Nothobranchius furzeri: one gene and its partner. The protein of the gene in region 1 binds, or shares a complex with, the protein of each later gene. Links are inferred from orthologs where the notes say so. Each region holds a gene or a part of one and is shown on either strand. Other genes may lie near its edges.

Evidence for each region.
Region 2: eif3d (region 1) and eif3m share a complex: the UniProt entries of both Homo sapiens proteins name them as parts of the eukaryotic translation initiation factor 3 (eIF-3) complex. The link is inferred for Nothobranchius furzeri from reciprocal best matches to the Homo sapiens genes EIF3D and EIF3M.

Annotation. Positions count from the first base shown.
Region 1 is NC_091745.1:29,238,861-29,243,224, reverse strand, and holds the start of eif3d (eukaryotic translation initiation factor 3 subunit D), read right to left. Parts: upstream 2,836-4,364; 5' UTR 2,693-2,835; intron 1,511-2,692; 5' UTR 1,508-1,510; coding exon 1,385-1,507; intron 1,303-1,384; coding exon 1,257-1,302; intron 1,172-1,256; coding exon 1,035-1,171; intron 946-1,034; coding exon 860-945; intron 782-859; coding exon 709-781; intron 40-708; coding exon 1-39. UniProt on the Homo sapiens protein: mRNA cap-binding component of the eukaryotic translation initiation factor 3 (eIF-3) complex, a complex required for several steps in the initiation of protein synthesis of a specialized repertoire of mRNAs.
Region 2 is NC_091749.1:32,403,415-32,407,158, forward strand, and holds part of eif3m (eukaryotic translation initiation factor 3 subunit M), read left to right. Parts: intron 1-2,089; coding exon 2,090-2,171; intron 2,172-2,478; coding exon 2,479-2,622; intron 2,623-3,356; coding exon 3,357-3,417; intron 3,418-3,744. UniProt on the Homo sapiens protein: Component of the eukaryotic translation initiation factor 3 (eIF-3) complex, which is required for several steps in the initiation of protein synthesis.

The DNA of each region.
Region 1 (4,364 bases):
CCTCACCTCCACAGAGGAGTCTCTGGGCTTCAGCTGGGCCTGAGAAGCAGCACAAACACACAAATTCACCAAAGACCATCACAACGGCTTCAAACAGACCCAAATACTTCAGAATCATTCATCTGTGATCATGAATCCTCAGACTGAAGCAGAAAATAGAGGTCAACCTCTACTGGTTTCTCTATTGCCGACGCACACAGCTAAAGTCGACGCCGACACGTAGGAGATAGCCGATGTGACTTTTACGGCCAAATCCAGATGTTTTTCCACTTCTTGGTCATGCTAAAATGTCACTAACAACATCAGTTAATGCACTAAATTTCTGAAGTTGAATCGGTTTTTGAACCAACTTCTAAATTTTAACGTTGTGCACTCCGTTAAAATTAGACACATAAATAAAGTTTATTTAGAGTATTTAACAATGAACATAAAAATACATTTAAATTAAATTCTGCTACAGCACCTGGCTGCCCAAGGATGTGCCCGACTTTAAATCGGTTTTCCTAAGGACAAATATCACTCTGCCCGATGCACCCACAGAGTACGACTTACAAGGTATCCCTTCCTACTAGAGACCACTGCAGATGCACCGACTAAACAATGAACCGCACCTTTAAAAATAAACCAAGAATGTGTTTTTTTATTGGTGAATATGATTTGATTTCTGCTGCTCTAAAAGGGAAACAATAGAAATTAAATAATCGACACCTGAGATTTTTGATCCCACTTCTGACGGACACCAAACTGCTTCTGGAACTTCTTCTGCAGACGCAAACGATCTCTGAAAAGGCGAAAGAGTGAGGTAAAGCTCATTGTTCAGCTTGGATCTTTCCAGTGGAGCTCAGAGTAATGATCTCACCTCTCCTTCTGCTTGGCACTCTTAGGAAGTGTCTGCATGTTGAACTGAGTCAAGTTCCTACGGTCCTTGTCCCTGCGAAGGTTCCTCTGTGGAAACAAAGCCACGTCTGTTGCTGACCTACATGAAGCTCAATAGTCTCATCAGGACTAAACTGTTTTGCAACAATATGCTCTACCTGAGCAAACCGCATGCGGTTCCTCTGGTACGCCGTCTTCTGGGTCTTAGCAGTGTCCACAAGCTGGAAGCTGGTCTCATCTTCCTCATGGAAGTAGGCATACTGACTCCCACCTCCAAACTGAGAGGAATATTTATCTGAAAAGCAAAAAAGACAAAAATAATTCAAATGTTTAACATTAAAACATATACGTAGATAAAGAATTTAAACCATCTCACTCACTCGTGTATCTCTTGTCTTGGTAAGTAGCTCCAGTCCAGTCAGCAACCTGTCAGACCAAACACAGTAAGAATCAAACACAACCTGCTTCTGGTTCTGGTTCTGCTAGAGGAGCTCCGGTGAGGGCAGACCTTTCCCAGTCTGTCTCCTTTGCTGAAAGGCTGGTAGGGCATATCTTTGAACTTCTCCGGGACTGCACACGGACCCCATCCAGACGGGTTGTCCTGGATCACGGGGGCGTGAAACTTTGCCATGACCTGAGATCGAAGCAGAACACAGACCGGACTTCAGCGATGCTGCGTTTTGATTCTGGTTAAAGCACAGCGGAGCGTCAACGGGTCTCAGCAACAGCAGCTCTGATCTCTCCAGCAGTGCTCTCAAACACATGGGCACTGATCAGATTGCGCAGTGGGCTAATCATCACCAACCCAGTCATTAACACAGATCGTTCAACTGGTAAACATTTTACAGAAAATAGAGAAAGCCATAAAAAGGAAAAGCTGACATCACTGGTTTAAAACACTGTCTGCTGATTTCTGAAATGGTCCAAGAACAGCCAACTGTTGGCTTCACTTATAGAGACTCTAAAATACCACCTAGTGACCATGCAAACAAGCATTCGTCTATAAAATAAACCCAGTCAGTCATGTTAATTTATTTTTACTGGTTGAATTATTCTGAGACAGGCGTAACAGACACATTTCTAATATATTTACCATACCACTTTAGTTTTAGAGCGCTTTTAACGCAGCATTATAACCGACCACAGCGCTGCACCAACACAGGCAGAGACAGTCACATAGGTCATAAAAACAATGAAAATGAACAACCAAGGAAAGCCAAACCAAAAATGTGGAACCACAGGACACCAGTCCACGGATTTAGAATAGAAAACCCGAAGTGGAAAGGAGGATGGCAATGTAGTCCTTATGGTTTGAGTTAAACGCCCAATTGTATTTCCAGGTGGTCGGAGACCTAGTTATTCATTTACACTTAATTATTATCAGTATTAAAAAGGGGCAATAAAGCATAAATTGATGTGATAAAGTAAAAAAAGTAAACTGCTTTAAATCTTTATTTCTTAAACGGTGTTCTTCAGGTCTTGGGCTGAATAGTATTGTACAGATTTAACTATTGTTTATGCGTTGCAGCCAAATGCGTTTTACTCCAAACGTGCATGAATCCGTGTTCAGTAGTGAGAAATAAAATCTCTTCCACTTAATTTAATGTCAAAGTTACGGGTGTTCTTTGTAAATATTTTATCTGATGACGGCCTTAGCTAGGGCGGCTCATCCTGTCGGGTGGGCCCGCTAACAAAGCTAAGCTAAGCTAACTAGCCGGCTTTTTGCAAACTGTCATTTTTCTCTGAGAGATGTTTCCCAGCGCCAACAAGCGCTGATACTCCTCTCTCATCTGAGCAAACTTTGGTGGAAACTTACCGAGAATAATGTGACTCTTTATCGAGTCTTTACACCCAGATGGTTTTACACCGATGTAAAACCCGACGGAATGCCGGCGTGAGAGGAAGTGACGCACCGTAAAAAGAGCGGAAAGAGGCTTCTGCCGTATTTCTAGCGCAACTGTCGTAATTTCAAGCGTTAATATCGCAGACATATCCTCATGATGTGTCTATGTCTATGGTTTATACACATATCTATGGTTTATCACATCAATTTCTGCTTTATTGCCCTTTAAAACTACCGAACACAAATTTAGTCATGTTTATCAAAACCGTTTGTACATTTTGTCTCTATAACTTGCAAAGACGTGTTTGGTCGGTTTCACTGATATATATGTTTGCGGTTCACTAGGCTAGAAGTGAGGTCTACTAGGGTGCAACTACGTACTTTCGGAGAGGTATGCAGACACACACACACACACACACACACACACACACACACACACACACACACACACACACACACACACACACACACACACACACACACACAGCCTTTCCAGTTGTGCACCAAAGTGCAGACATGACCAAAAATCAGATGTTTTCTAGCAATTTCTTTCAAGAACAATAAGAACAAAAATACCTTTTTCAGTCCCTGAGTGGGGAAACTGCATTATTGCAACAGTTTAAGGAGGATAGCAGCAGTAGCACATCTATATACAAGAGCATATTTGTAAATTAAGATAGCCAAGGTAATTATTGCACATAATAACAACAGTAATAGCAATATTGCACATGTTGGTGATGATATTTGTAGTGGAATGTTACAGATGTATGGGTTCCATGTTAGCAATGACCATTATAGAGTCTAACAGTGGCCGGAAGGAAAGACCTGCAGCATCTCTCCTTCACACTGCGAGGATGGATCAGTCTGTCACTGAAGCTGCTACCATGGCCCCATTCATTTTGTTCTTAACACGGATCAGTCGTCCTGTCCCCTTAGCAGAAAAACAGCCCCAAAGCATGATGTTCCCACCCCCATGCTTCACAGTAGGTATGGTGTTCTTGGGATGCAACTCAGTATTCTTCTTCCTCCAAACACGACGAGTTGAGTTTATACCAAAAAGTTCTACTTTGGTTTCATCTGACCACATGACATTCTCCCAATCCTCTGCTGTATCATCCATGTGCTCTCTGGCAAACTTCAGACGGGCCTGAACATGCACTGGCTTCAGCAGCGGAACACGGCTGGCACTGCAGGATTCGATTCCCTGCCGTTGTAGTGTGTTACTGATGGTGACCTTTGTTACTGTGGTCCCAGCTCTCTGCAGGTCATTCACCAGGTCCCCCCGTGCAGGGACGAAATTTTGATTTCAGAAGTGGGGGGGACACAGCAGGCTTGTGCGGATTTGGGGTGGGGGGTGTTATGTAAAGACCCCTTGACACGTCATGTGCCCATCTCAATAATTTTTCCATCCTCATATATATATATATATATATATATATATATATATATATATATATATCCCTTACCTCACATTAGAGCATTTTTTTGTGCTGACACGTGTATTTTTGTGAATAACTTTGGCTATGTTAATGCAATTTATCTAATTTTTATGGAGGATGTGTATTTTGGAAGGAATTACAAAAAAGTTTGAAAAAATATTCAATCTACTTTATTAAAACGTGGAAATCATTTTGTACAGTTAAGC
Region 2 (3,744 bases), on another chromosome or scaffold:
AATATATTTAAAAGTAGGTGTAATAGATTTTCATGGAATAATTCCATTGAATATTAGTTCAATTTAGTTTTATTTATATAGCGCCATAACACAACAAGAGTCGTCTCAAGGCACTTCACAAAGTAAACATTCCAAAACAGGTCAGGGGTCTCATTTATCAAACATTGAGTAGAGTCCTTACTAAAACCGTACTTAAGCTCAACAAAAAAAATGTACTTACGCCAAGTAGGTTTGTGATCTATCAAACAGGGTGTACACACAGCTGCACGCAATCTCCGCTTCATAAATCGGAGACTAACGAGAAAGTTTCTCAGCTGCTTTTTAGTCACATCCCGCCCTCACCACGCCCACTTACTGCCATAAATGGTCAATGCAAAGTGCCTTGTGGACCTCATGCATATACATAAGCCGGCTGTTGCAGCGCTCCGCAAATGATGATGGCGACCGTAGATCAAGGAAGCGCAATTTTACACAAGCAGAAGTTGAGGTACCTGTGGGTGAGGTGGAGAAATGAAAGGAAGGGCTTTTGCAAAACAAATGAGAGAAAATCCACGGAGTGGCACAGCGTTGCTGAAGCCGTCAATGCTGAGTTCTTCAGAGAGATCTGTGGTGGATATAAAAAAAAATGGTCCAATCGGGATTCGATCCCCAGACTCCCGGGTAAAAGTCACACACACTAACCAGTCACCCAAACAGATATCTCCCTTGTCCAAGTAGCCAGGGCGCATGATCAATCGGGTCACAGTGACAGGACACACACACTGTAACAGACTCATGACATTCTATCTCAATCTGTCCTGCTGATATTCTGCATTCCGTATTCTGGCTTCAGGGTGTGTGTGTGTGTGCGTGTGCGAGTGTGCACGCGCGTGTGTGTGCGTGTGGGGGGGTTTGTTCTGTGTGAAAACGAAGCAGTACAAGTGATAATGCTGCAGGATTTCATAATTTTATCCTTCTCAGCAGCATCACTGCAGGTGCTCTCATGTCTAAAATGTGTGTAAGCCAGGTCCTTAGTCAACTTAAAGTTGCGCACATTTTTCTGCTAAGTTTTCTTTCATAAATCCCAAAGTTAGCGTGGAAAGTTGCTCACGCAGTTTTCCGACCCCGTTTTGTGCGTAAGCAAGCTTGATACATGAGGCCCCTGTTCATTAAGCCATTCAGTAAAAAGTTTCCTATATTAGGAGCCCTGCGGATCACATCAAGTCAATCCTCATACTAAGCAAGCATTTAGCGACAGTGGAGAGGAAAATTCCCTTTTAACAGGAAGAAACCTCCAGAGGATCCTGGCTCAGTATAAGCAGCCATCCATCACGACTCACTGGGGGTCGAGAAGACAGAGCAGACACACACATACACCAACACCAGCCCACACACACACATTAAGTAGTGTTTCTCTGGTTACATTGTGATTTCTTAGTAGATATTCTATTTAGTAAGAGATTAACTTTATTGTCTTTAAGTGAATTTTATAATTAATTCAACAGGTGAACTAGTAGTAGCACATTCCATGTTAAAGAAAATAAAATGTTATCAGGAGAGGGAGAACATTTAAGTGGTTAGCAGCAGTGTGCCAGCCGGCTGCTTTTCAGAGACACGTGTCCTGAGGGTAACGAATTGTTGTTGTGGAAGAGCTGTTTTAATAATTTTCCGCCTAGAAAAATGAATCATTACTCGTTTTGCAAAAGTTTATTTTTCTTTCTTATTTCTAAAGCTTAATAATATCAGCATCTGTTTGTTTTTTTACAATAATTACCTTAAATATTTAATACTAGATATTTACAGGAGAGGAAAAATAACTTCTGACTTCTCACAGAATTCTTACACTCGTGTCAGAACAAAAAAGAGAACTCTTTTTCAGTAGCTCTAATCTTTTTTTTATAGATATTTATTTAAAAAAATAGAAAAGTAAAATGTCCTGTAGCTGCAGCTCTGAATGAGTTTTATTAGATCGACTGAGGGGAAAACGGCTCGTGATTTAGGCTGCAGACTGCTGAGGTTGACAATTCAAGGACAAATGAGTCGAGATGAAACAGTTTGATGTATCTTCTCGTCAGTTTTTTAACCAACTTTCATCCTTTTCCCTCTGCAGCTGTTGACCATCTTTGTCAGCGCAAAACTAGCAGCCTACGTGAAGTTCTACCAGAACAACAAAGACTTCATCGATTCTCTCGGTGAGTTTTCACGAGAAAACAGAAACGCCAAACGGGCGTGTGACAGACGAACTTTTGTCCTGTGTAGCTGTGATCAGTTTCACTCTGTTGACACAGAGCAAGAATGTTTGTGTCAGCATTGTTTTTCTTTTCCTCGCTGCTTGCAGAGCAAGGGTAAATTAAACCATGTTTGGGTGGACTCTGAAAACAGAACAGAGACACGTTTGTGTTAATGAGCAGAATTCCCGACCGTTATTCCAGGGAAACTCCCAGAGTGGACGAGTAATTGACTGTGACTGTTTAATGATCCCTGTGTGACGCTCCTCAGGCCTCTCTCATGAGCAGAACATGGCCAAGATGCGTCTGCTGACGTTCATGGGCATGGCGGTGGAGTTCAAGGAGATCTCCTTCGACACCATACAGCAGGAGCTGCAGATCGGAGCTGAAGATGTTGAGGCCTTCGTCATCGATGGTAAAAGCTCTTCACACTTATCGTGTTACGGCAGATTGGACTCTCTTCTGAAGCTTCCATGGCTGCAGCTTCTCAGTAACATGCAGATAGGCTCCTGTCACTGATGTAAGCACGTTTTGCTCACTGATACCTGGAGATAAAACGGACTAGGCTGCTCTTTGTAGGCATCTAGTGATGGCTCCAGCGGTGTTGGTAGATGTGAGTAGAATGAGGTGCAAGTGAAGATGAGTGGTGTGCTGTTGCTGCAGCGGATGGAGGAGGAAGTTCCGCTCACCGTGGTGGTTTTAAGGCACAAAAACAAAGCTCTCATACAACACTGGATCATTCGACTCACATAGGGAAAAAAATATTCTAGCAAATACAAAAGTTTACAAAAACAACAAATCTGACTAAAAAGCTGTTTAATGTTGCTTTTAAAAGCTTGTCTTTAATGTACAAAAACAAAATAGTCATAATCTAGTAACCAGACTGCTCCAGAGCTCATAGTTGTGTTTACTTGTAGAGATTATAGAGTTTCCACACATATGTACCCATGTGTACACTTTTAGACGGCTTCACCAAGAGCTGTTGATTTGCCTGACAGGATTTTGAGTTTTTCTTTCTGGACGTTTGAGTCTAGTCAGGAAAAAAAGGATCAAGTCAGAAGTGTAAACAGTGCTTGTTGTGCAGCCCCTGTTGGTCAGCTGAGGTCTTACACTTTTTGTTCGTATTTCTGCTTCGCTGTGTTCCTGCAGCTGTTCGGACCAAAATGGTGTACTGCAAAATCGACCAGACGCAGAAAAAGGTGGTCGTGAGGTAAGTGTTTGTGCTTTCAGGTGTTTTACTAGTCATCGTTAGGGAAAGGAAGGTTATGCCGATTGTGGAAATACTTATTTTTCTATTTATGTTCCAACAATCAGTAAGTTAAAAATGGCTACAAAGCAGAAGGAGGGAATAAGAAAACAGGAAAGTGTTGCCATGTTTGTGCTTTCGCCGTTTTAGAAACCGTAGAGGTCAGATACTCGTGGGTTTGATAAGCAGATCTTCAGGCAGCTTCATCGGACCGCAGAGCGGTGGACACCTGCACAGATATGACCTTCATGAACAAGTTATCTGAGCAACAGACAACCTAAACTTGGACTG